Oryctolagus cuniculus: one gene and its partner. The protein of the gene in region 1 purifies or fractionates together with the protein of each later gene. This does not show direct contact. Links are inferred from orthologs where the notes say so. Each region holds a gene or a part of one and is shown on either strand. Other genes may lie near its edges.

What was found.
Region 2: the proteins of NOD1 (region 1) and RIPK2 purify together in Homo sapiens (affinity purification with western blotting; 4 studies listed by BioGRID and IntAct, with this or other methods). This does not show direct contact. The link is inferred for Oryctolagus cuniculus from reciprocal best matches to the Homo sapiens genes NOD1 and RIPK2.

Annotation. Positions count from the first base shown.
Region 1 is NC_091447.1:21,785,479-21,789,827, forward strand, and holds the start of NOD1 (nucleotide-binding oligomerization domain-containing protein 1), read right to left. Parts: upstream 2,975-4,349; 5' UTR 2,715-2,974; intron 2,688-2,714; exon of another isoform or gene 2,179-2,687; intron 1-2,178. UniProt on the Homo sapiens protein: Pattern recognition receptor (PRR) that detects bacterial peptidoglycan fragments and other danger signals and thus participates in both innate and adaptive immune responses.
Region 2 is NC_091437.1:115,018,388-115,022,199, forward strand, and holds part of RIPK2 (receptor-interacting serine/threonine-protein kinase 2), read left to right. Parts: intron 1-3,225; coding exon 3,226-3,387; intron 3,388-3,812.

The DNA of each region.
Region 1 (4,349 bases):
CCCTTGGAGTGGATCTCCCCCAGCTGGCTTGGTGTCCAGAGGCTGGGAGGACGGGGGTGATCTCTGTCCACGGGGTGGCCGGTGGTGGTTCCCGATAACACTCGAGTTTAAACAAGAATCCAAGCGAGTAAGTCTTGCCTTGACAAATTCTCTAGCACAGGCCAAGAATCATCAATGAATTGGGACGGCAATGGCTGCTCACCTCTCATCACAAGGGTCAAGCTGGCCCTCAGTGAGCATCCGTGTTTTCCTAGAATGAGCTCAGGTCTTGGGGACAGATGGAAGGAGGCCCTCTGAGTGACATGCAAGTGACTTCCCCAGGATTGCAAAGGATTCAGGTCTTGTGAAAGCTTCCAAAACGCCTCAGCACAAATGCAGATTTTACCTTTTCTAATTCCATCTTGCCTCAGTCTCCCAAGAAAGAGTCCTATGAGGAACTAGCAACTTAAACTTCAAGTCCTAGTTTATGTCTTGGGTATTGAACAAATATTGAATCCTTTTGGTAATTCTGTTTAAGAAAACACCAGGGATCACACATACACGATAAATACACTCCCCCTACCCCCATACCTACTTGACCTCACTATTTACATTCCTAATGTCTAAATGGAACAGGGCTGCTGCTCCCACCAAAGTGACTGTCACGAACTGGGGAGGTTCCGGCGGGGATGTAGGCATTGCCATTGGCAGGATCTGAGCTCCTCCACCCCCAGATTCTCCCTTGTCCTTGGTCACTGAAGAAAGAGCTGCTGTCACAGGGCCAAGAGTCAGGAGCAAAACAGGAAGAGCAGGGCGTGGTGGCAGGGGAGCCTCACACGTGTGGCCACACCAGTTCTGACAGCCTGTCCACGGCCCAGCTTTCCAGGAGGACATATCTGATGGGGGGGGGGGGGGGACATGGTGGTGGGGCAGAGGTCTCAAGATAAAGGGCCGCTTTCTCGGGTCAGGAAATCTATCCCCATCGCCCAGACAAACCTGGATTCCAGAGCCATGGCCTGGCCATCAGCCACGAGCTCCCACATCAGAGCAGCCACATCCCCAGGGGGAAGAAACCACGGCTTCACAGGGGAAGGAACCGGGGGGCCTCCCCTGGGGAAGGCAGCAGCAGGGCCAAAGAGCAGGGCAAGGGCCTTCAAGGGAGGCAGTTTCTGGACAAGCATCCCCGCCCCATCGTGGCTGTGCTGTTGCAGCCCCGCTGCACGGGTGGGAAAAAGAGCTGAGACTCGGACCCGTGTTTGACAGACACCAAATCCTCAAAAGTCAAACCTTCTCAGAACCTCTGAGCCACCCCGCTCCTCTTTTGGTTTAAAATCTGCCCTTTGCATTTGCTTGGCATGAGCAGTAGAAACCGGTCCCTTGTCAACCCCACTGCTTGCCTGGCTCACAGCTACCTGCAGCTGGACCGCTCCCCCGCCCCCAGGTGAGCATAGGCCCCTGGCCAGGTGCCTGCTGGCTTCTTCCAGGGCCTGGCCGGGATCTACTGGCTTCCCCGGCCCTGCCTGAAAATACAGAGCAAGCAGGACATTCTGAGAGGATGGCAACCTGGTATTCCTTAGCTTTCTCACAAAGCCCGCGTGCACAGCCCAGGCTTCTTAGGGCACGTGGGACAGCAGATCCCGACACCCATGGTCATCTCCCTCCTTGGGGGGACCCCGGCTCCAAGGCCGAGCAGGCGGGGCTTCGTGAAGGCCCCTGTCTGCCCTTCCTTCGCCTTGGTCTCCAGATCCCATTTTTGGCGGCAAACGACACGAAGGTGTGAGCTGACCACAGGTCAGCCCCACGTGTGGACACTATAACCCCGCCTTAGCCCCCGGTGAGGCGAGGGTATCCAGAAGCTCATGGAAGATGGAGCTAAATAAGTTTTCTGAGACTCATGCACATGAGGAGTCTTCAGAAAGTTCACGAAAAGTTGTTATGAAAAAAAACACACATGGCTTTCAAAAACTGCACCGAAATAAATTTTTAAAGAATATTTGTTTTTCCAAGAACGTTCTGAAACGCTCTGGGGAGCGAGTGCCTGACACCGTCAAGCATCCTTCCCCACCCCACCCCGGGGTGGGGGGGGTTCTGGGCCCTGTCCCGCAGCTGTCCCCGCACCTGTCCCCGGGCAGCGTGGCCGCCAGCCGCACGCAGATCCCGCCTCCCCGCGCCAACCCCCGCCGCAGCGCCGGCACTTACGTGGCAGCCAGGTCTGAGGAACTCCCTGCGGCCGGGAGCCAGGCCGGGCCAGCGTGCGGGAGCGCCGGGCGCCCGCAGCTCCGCAGGGGCAGGGCCGGCCCGGAACGGGAACTGGCGGGGAAGGCGGCGGGGCCGGGCCCCAGAGGCCGGCGCGTTCCTGGGAGAGGCCGAGGCGGCGCGCTCGGCGTGGGAGGCCGGGCGGCCGCGGTCAGCCCCCGCCCCCGACGGCGCCCAGCTGCGGCCGCAGGACGCGGGACGGCGGGCGGGCAGGCGCTGGGTGCCCCGCCGCGGCCGAAGCTTTCCCCCTTCTGCACCGCCGCGTGGCCTCGCGCATTCCCGGTTAGCAGGGTTTCAGGCGAGGGTCCCCGTCGCGGCCCGCCCACCCTCGTGGGCGACTTCCTGCCCTCCTCGGCCGAAAGCCGGACGTCGCCAGCGGAACACGGGCGGGAAGCAGCGCGGACTCCGGGCTTCACCTGCCTCAGAAACCTGGGAGGAAAACCAGACAAGTTCCCTTTTCCGCCCGAGTCCGGCCTTACCTCCCTCGCTGCTGACCCCTCGCGTTTTGAAGGGCGCCCGTGCTATCTCTTGATTCGATTACTGTCATCTGCAGACCTTTTTGAATCCGCTTTCTAACCCGCCTGTAGCGCAGAGGCTCCCCAGGCGTGGCTGTGTCTTGCACCTCGGGCTCTGCGTGTGGCAGGAAGGGCGTGGGCGCCTGGCCTGGGGCCGGCTGGGGTCCCTCACGGGGATGAGCGGGCAAATGCAGGAGCGAAGCGGGACCCGGCCCGCACTGCTGGCCTCGGAGCTGCACTAGGGCGCGGCCCGCGCCCTCTGGGCTGGATTCCCCCCTGGGGAGCCCGCGGAAGCACTTTGCATGTAGTCTCATGAGACCCGTTTTGGAATTCTGACCCCCGAAACAGTAAGAAGACACATTTGTGTCTTAAAGCACTAAATTCAGGCAGCAATAGGAAACTAATAACGCCATCTAGTTAACGTCTTAATTTTAGCAATAATATATTCACTTCTAGTGTATTAATATATAAACCCATTTGTTATTAGTATATTCTAAGATTTTTGGTTGTATTTCTAGCTATCTTTATCATTTTCAATAGTCCCTTGTTCTTTGATTATCTCATCAAATTTTTTAAAATCTCATTGTTATTTCTGGTTTGTTTTTACACTTTTCATTTTGAGATGACTGTCAATTCAAGTGAAGTTGTAAGAGATAATGCAGAGGGGCCGGCGCTGTGGTGTAGTGGGCTAAGCCTCTGCCTGCAACACCGCATCCCATGTGGGTGCCGGTTTGTGTCCCAGCTGTTTCTTGTCTGATCCAGCTCTCTGCTATGGCCTGGGAAAGCTGAAGAAGGCCCAAGTGCTTAGGCCTCTGCACCCTTTTGGGAGACCTGGAAGAAGTTCCTGGCTCCTGGCTTCGGATGAGTTCAGCCCTGGCCATGGCCACCATCTGGGGAGTGAACCAGCAGATAGAAGACCTCTCTTTCTGTGTCTCTCCTTTGTCTGTAACTCTGCCTCTCAAATAAATAAAACCTTAAAAAAAAGAAAAGAAATGAAGAACACAGAAAAAGCCCTAGATCCTTGAACGAAATTTCCCCAGTGGTGACATCTTGCAAAGCCATAGTACAGTAGCTCAACCAGGATGTGCCGTGAATAGTCAAGATACCTGTGTCCAGCACCACAAAGATCCTCATATTATCCTTTTTTTAAATTTTATTATTATTATTTTTTTTGACAGGCAGAGTGGATAGAGAGAGGCAGAGAGAAAGTTCTTCCTTTTGCTGTTGGTTCACCCGCCAATGGCCGCCACGGCTGGCGCGCTGCGGCCGGTGCACCGCGCTGATCCGAAGGCAGGAGCCAGGTGCTTCCTCCTGGTCTCCCATGGGGTGCAGGGCCCAAGCAGTTGGGCCATCCTCCACTGCACTCCCTGGCCACAGCAGAGAGCTGGCCTGGAAGAGGGGCAACCGGGAAAGAATCCGGTGCCCCGACCGGGACTAGAACCCCAGGGTGCGGGCACCGCTAGGTGGCGCCGGCTCATGTTATCCTTTATTTTAAAATAATTTATTTTATTTATTTCAAAGACAAAACCAGAGAGAAAGAGAGAGAGAGAGAGAGAGAGAGAGAGAGATCTTCTATCCATTGGTTCTCTCCCCAAATGG
Region 2 (3,812 bases), on another chromosome or scaffold:
AATTAAGTCTATGATAAAGTCACTGAATTTCTAGAATCCTCATTTTCCTCATCGACAAAACAAGTATTGAATTACTATTTGCAAGATCCATTCCAGCTTTAAAACTATATGAATACTTAATACTTAACTTTTTTTTAAAGATTTTATTTATTTATTTATTTGACAGGTAGAGTTACAGACAGTGAGATAGAGAAACAGAGATAAAAGCCTTCTTTCCGTTGGTTCACTCCCCAAATGGCCGCAACGGCCGGAGCTGTGCCAATCCGAAGCCAGGAGCCAGGTGCTTCTTCCTGGTCTGTCATACGGGTACAGGGGCCCAAGGACCCAGGCCATCCTCTGCTGCTTTCCCAGGCCACAGCAGAGAGCTGGATTGGAAGAGGAGCAGCCGGGACTAGAACCAGCGCCCATATTGGATGCCGGCAACAAAGGCAGAGGATTAACTTAGTGTGCCCCGGCACCCATTCCAGTACTTAACTATTTTATACAGAACAGTAAACAATGAAGAATAATCTGTCTTTTTCATTCCCTAATAATATTGTTTATTTCTTTATTTTGAGATTTGTATAAGGTCATATTGCTCAAATGTAACAACCTCAAAATCTCAGTAGCTTACAAAGTAAACTCTTTTTTTAACTTTTATTTAATAAATATATTTTCAAAGTACAACTTTTGGATTATAGCGGCTTTTTCCCCCCATAAACTCCCTCCGACGCACAACCATCCCATCTCCCACCCCATTCACTTCAAGATTCATTTTCAATTATCTTTATATAGAGAAGATCAATTTAGTAAAAATTTCTTTTTTTTTTTTTTTTTTTTTTTTTTTTTGACAGGCAGAGTTAGACAATGAGAGAGAGACAGAGAGAAAGGTCTTCCTTCCATTGGTTCACCACCCAATGGCTGCTATGGCCGGCGTGCTGCACGGATCCAAAGCCAGGAGCCAGGTGCTTTCCTCCTGGTCTCCCATGTGGGTGCAGGGCCCAAGCACTTGGGCTATCCTCCACTGCCTTCCTGGGCCACAGCAGAGAGCTGTACTGGAAGAGGGGCAACTGGGACTAGTACCCAGCGCCCCAGCCAGGACTAGAACCCAGTGTGCCAGCACCACAGGCAGAGGATTAGCCTAGTGAGCCACAGCGCTGGCCATAAAAGTAAAGATTTCAACAGTTTGCACCCACACCGAAACACAAAGTATAAAGTACTGTTTGAGTACCAGTTATACCGTTAATTCACATAGTACAACACATTAAGGACAGAGATCCTAAATGGGGAGTAAATGCACAGTGACTCCTTTCGTTGATTTAACAATTGACACTCTTACTTATGATGTAATCACTTGAGGCTCTAGTCATGAGCTGCCAAGGCTATGGAAGCCTCTTGAGTTTGCCAACTCTGATCTTATTTAGACAAGGCCATAGTGAAAGTGGAAGTTCTCTCCTCCCTTCAGAGAAAGGTACCTCCTTCTTTGATGGCCCCTTCTTTCCACTGGGATCTCACTCACAGAGATCTTTCATTTAGGTTTTTCTTTTTTTGTTTTTGTTTGTTTTTTGCCACAGTGTCTTGGCTTTCCATGCCTGAAATACTCTCATGGGCTTTTTAACCAGATCCACATGCCTTAAGGGCTGATTATGAGGCCAGAGTGCTGTTTAGGACATCTGCCATTCTGTGAGTCTGCTGTGTATCCCGCTTCCCATGTTGGATCATTCTCTCCTTTTTAATTCTATCAGTTAGTATTAGCAGACACTAGTCTTGTTTATGTGATCCCTTTAGCACTTAATCCTATCATTATGATTAATTATGAACTGAAACTGATCACTTGGACTAGTAGGATGGCATTGGTACATGCCACCTTGATGAGACTGAATTGGAATCCCCTGGCACCGTTTTAACTCATTAGGGATAAGTCCGATTGAGCATGTGCCAAACTGTACATTTCCTCCCTCTCTTATTCCCACTGTTATATTTAACAGGGATCACTTTTCAGTTAAATTTAAACAGCTAAGAATAATTGTGTGTTAATTAAAGAGTTCAACCAATGGTATTAAGTAGAACAAAAAAATACTAAAGGGAATAAAGTATTAAGTTGTTCCTCAACAGTCAGGACAAGGGCTGATCAAGTCATTGTTCCTTCACTTCAAGAGGTTTCCTTTTAGGTGCTCAGTAGTTGTCACCGATCAGGGAGAACATATGATATTTGTCCCTTTGGGACTGGCTTATTTCACTCAGCATGATGGTTTCCTGATTCTTCCATTTTGTTGCAAATGACCAGATTTCATTTTTTTCCTGCTGTATATATTCTATACAGTACATATCCCATAATTTCTTTATCCAGTCATCTGTTGATGGGCATTTAGGTTGATTCCATGTCTTAGCTATTATGAATTGAGCTGCAATAAACATTAAAATGCAGCCAGCTCTTTTATTTGCCAATTTAATTTCCTTTGGGTAAATTCCAAGGAGTGGGATGGCTGGGTTGTATGGTAGGGTTATATTTAGGCTTCTGAGGAATCTCCAAACTGACTTCCATAGTGGTTTTACCAGTTTGCATTCCCACCAACAGTGGGTTAGTGTCCCTTTTTCCCCACATCCTCGCCAGCATCTGTTGTTGGTAGATTTCTGTATGTGAGCCAGAATTCTAACTGGGGTGAGGTGAAACCTCATTGTGGTTTTGATTTGCATTTCCCTGATTGCTAGTGATCCTGAACATTTTTTCATGTGTCTGTTGGCTGTTTGTATTTCCTCTTTTGAAAAATGTCTGTTGAGGTCCTTGGCCCATCTCTTTAGTGGGTTGTTTGTTTTGATGTCGTGGAGTTTCTTTATCTCTTTGTAGATTCTGGTTATTAAACCTTTAGGTTGCATAGTTTGCCAATATTTTTATTTCTCCTTCAGGTTAGTTAGATATTGGTTGCTGTAGCCTTTCATGGCTCTGTCACATTTTACTCAGCTATACAGAGCTCTGCCTGACTCTGTTCTACTCATATACCATTAACAAAGTGAAATAACATTATCAAGTCCAGAATTAATGATGATGTAAACTCCTTTCCTGGAAGGCTGACAAGTCTGGTAATGACTTGGATTCATATATATGTATTCCTTTAACCAAGGAGGGGTAATATATTTTATTACTCCTAAAATTTTAAGATTACTCATTTTCATCTGCCTAGTTTTAGTATTTAATGTGCTAGATTTTAATGTATTTCTAATAAATTAAATACGTTCTTTGGACAGAAGTCACCAATCCATTGCAGATTATGTATAGTGTGTCACAGGGACATCGACCTGACACTAATGAAGAAAGTTTACCTTTTGATATACCTCATCGAGCACTTATGATATCTCTGATAGAAAGTGGATGGGCACAAAATCCGGATGAAAGACCATCTTTCTTAAGTGAGTATACAGCTTTGATCTGGACCATTTGAGTTATGTAAAGTACCTAATGCACTGTGAATAAAATATCCCTGGAAAAATTATACAAATTGGATAACTAGTTGCAAGTGTTGTTTAAATTCTTCTAATTCTTGTTATTCATAACATTTACCTTTGAATAACTGTTTTGAGAGCAGAATTGAGAATTCCTAACAGAAGAGAGAAATCAGCTAGGAGTGTTCATTGCTTTCATATATTCAACAACTCTTTATTGAACACCTACCATGTGCTACAGCACATGAGTACAGAGTGAGCACTGAGAAAGATTAGTAAATAAGATAGTATAAGGCAGTAACTTTCAGGAGCCCATAGCCTCATAGAGAAGACTCAGGCAAAACATAAATGTAGAAGAAAGAGATCACTGAGGTCCGGAAGAAAGCAGGGTA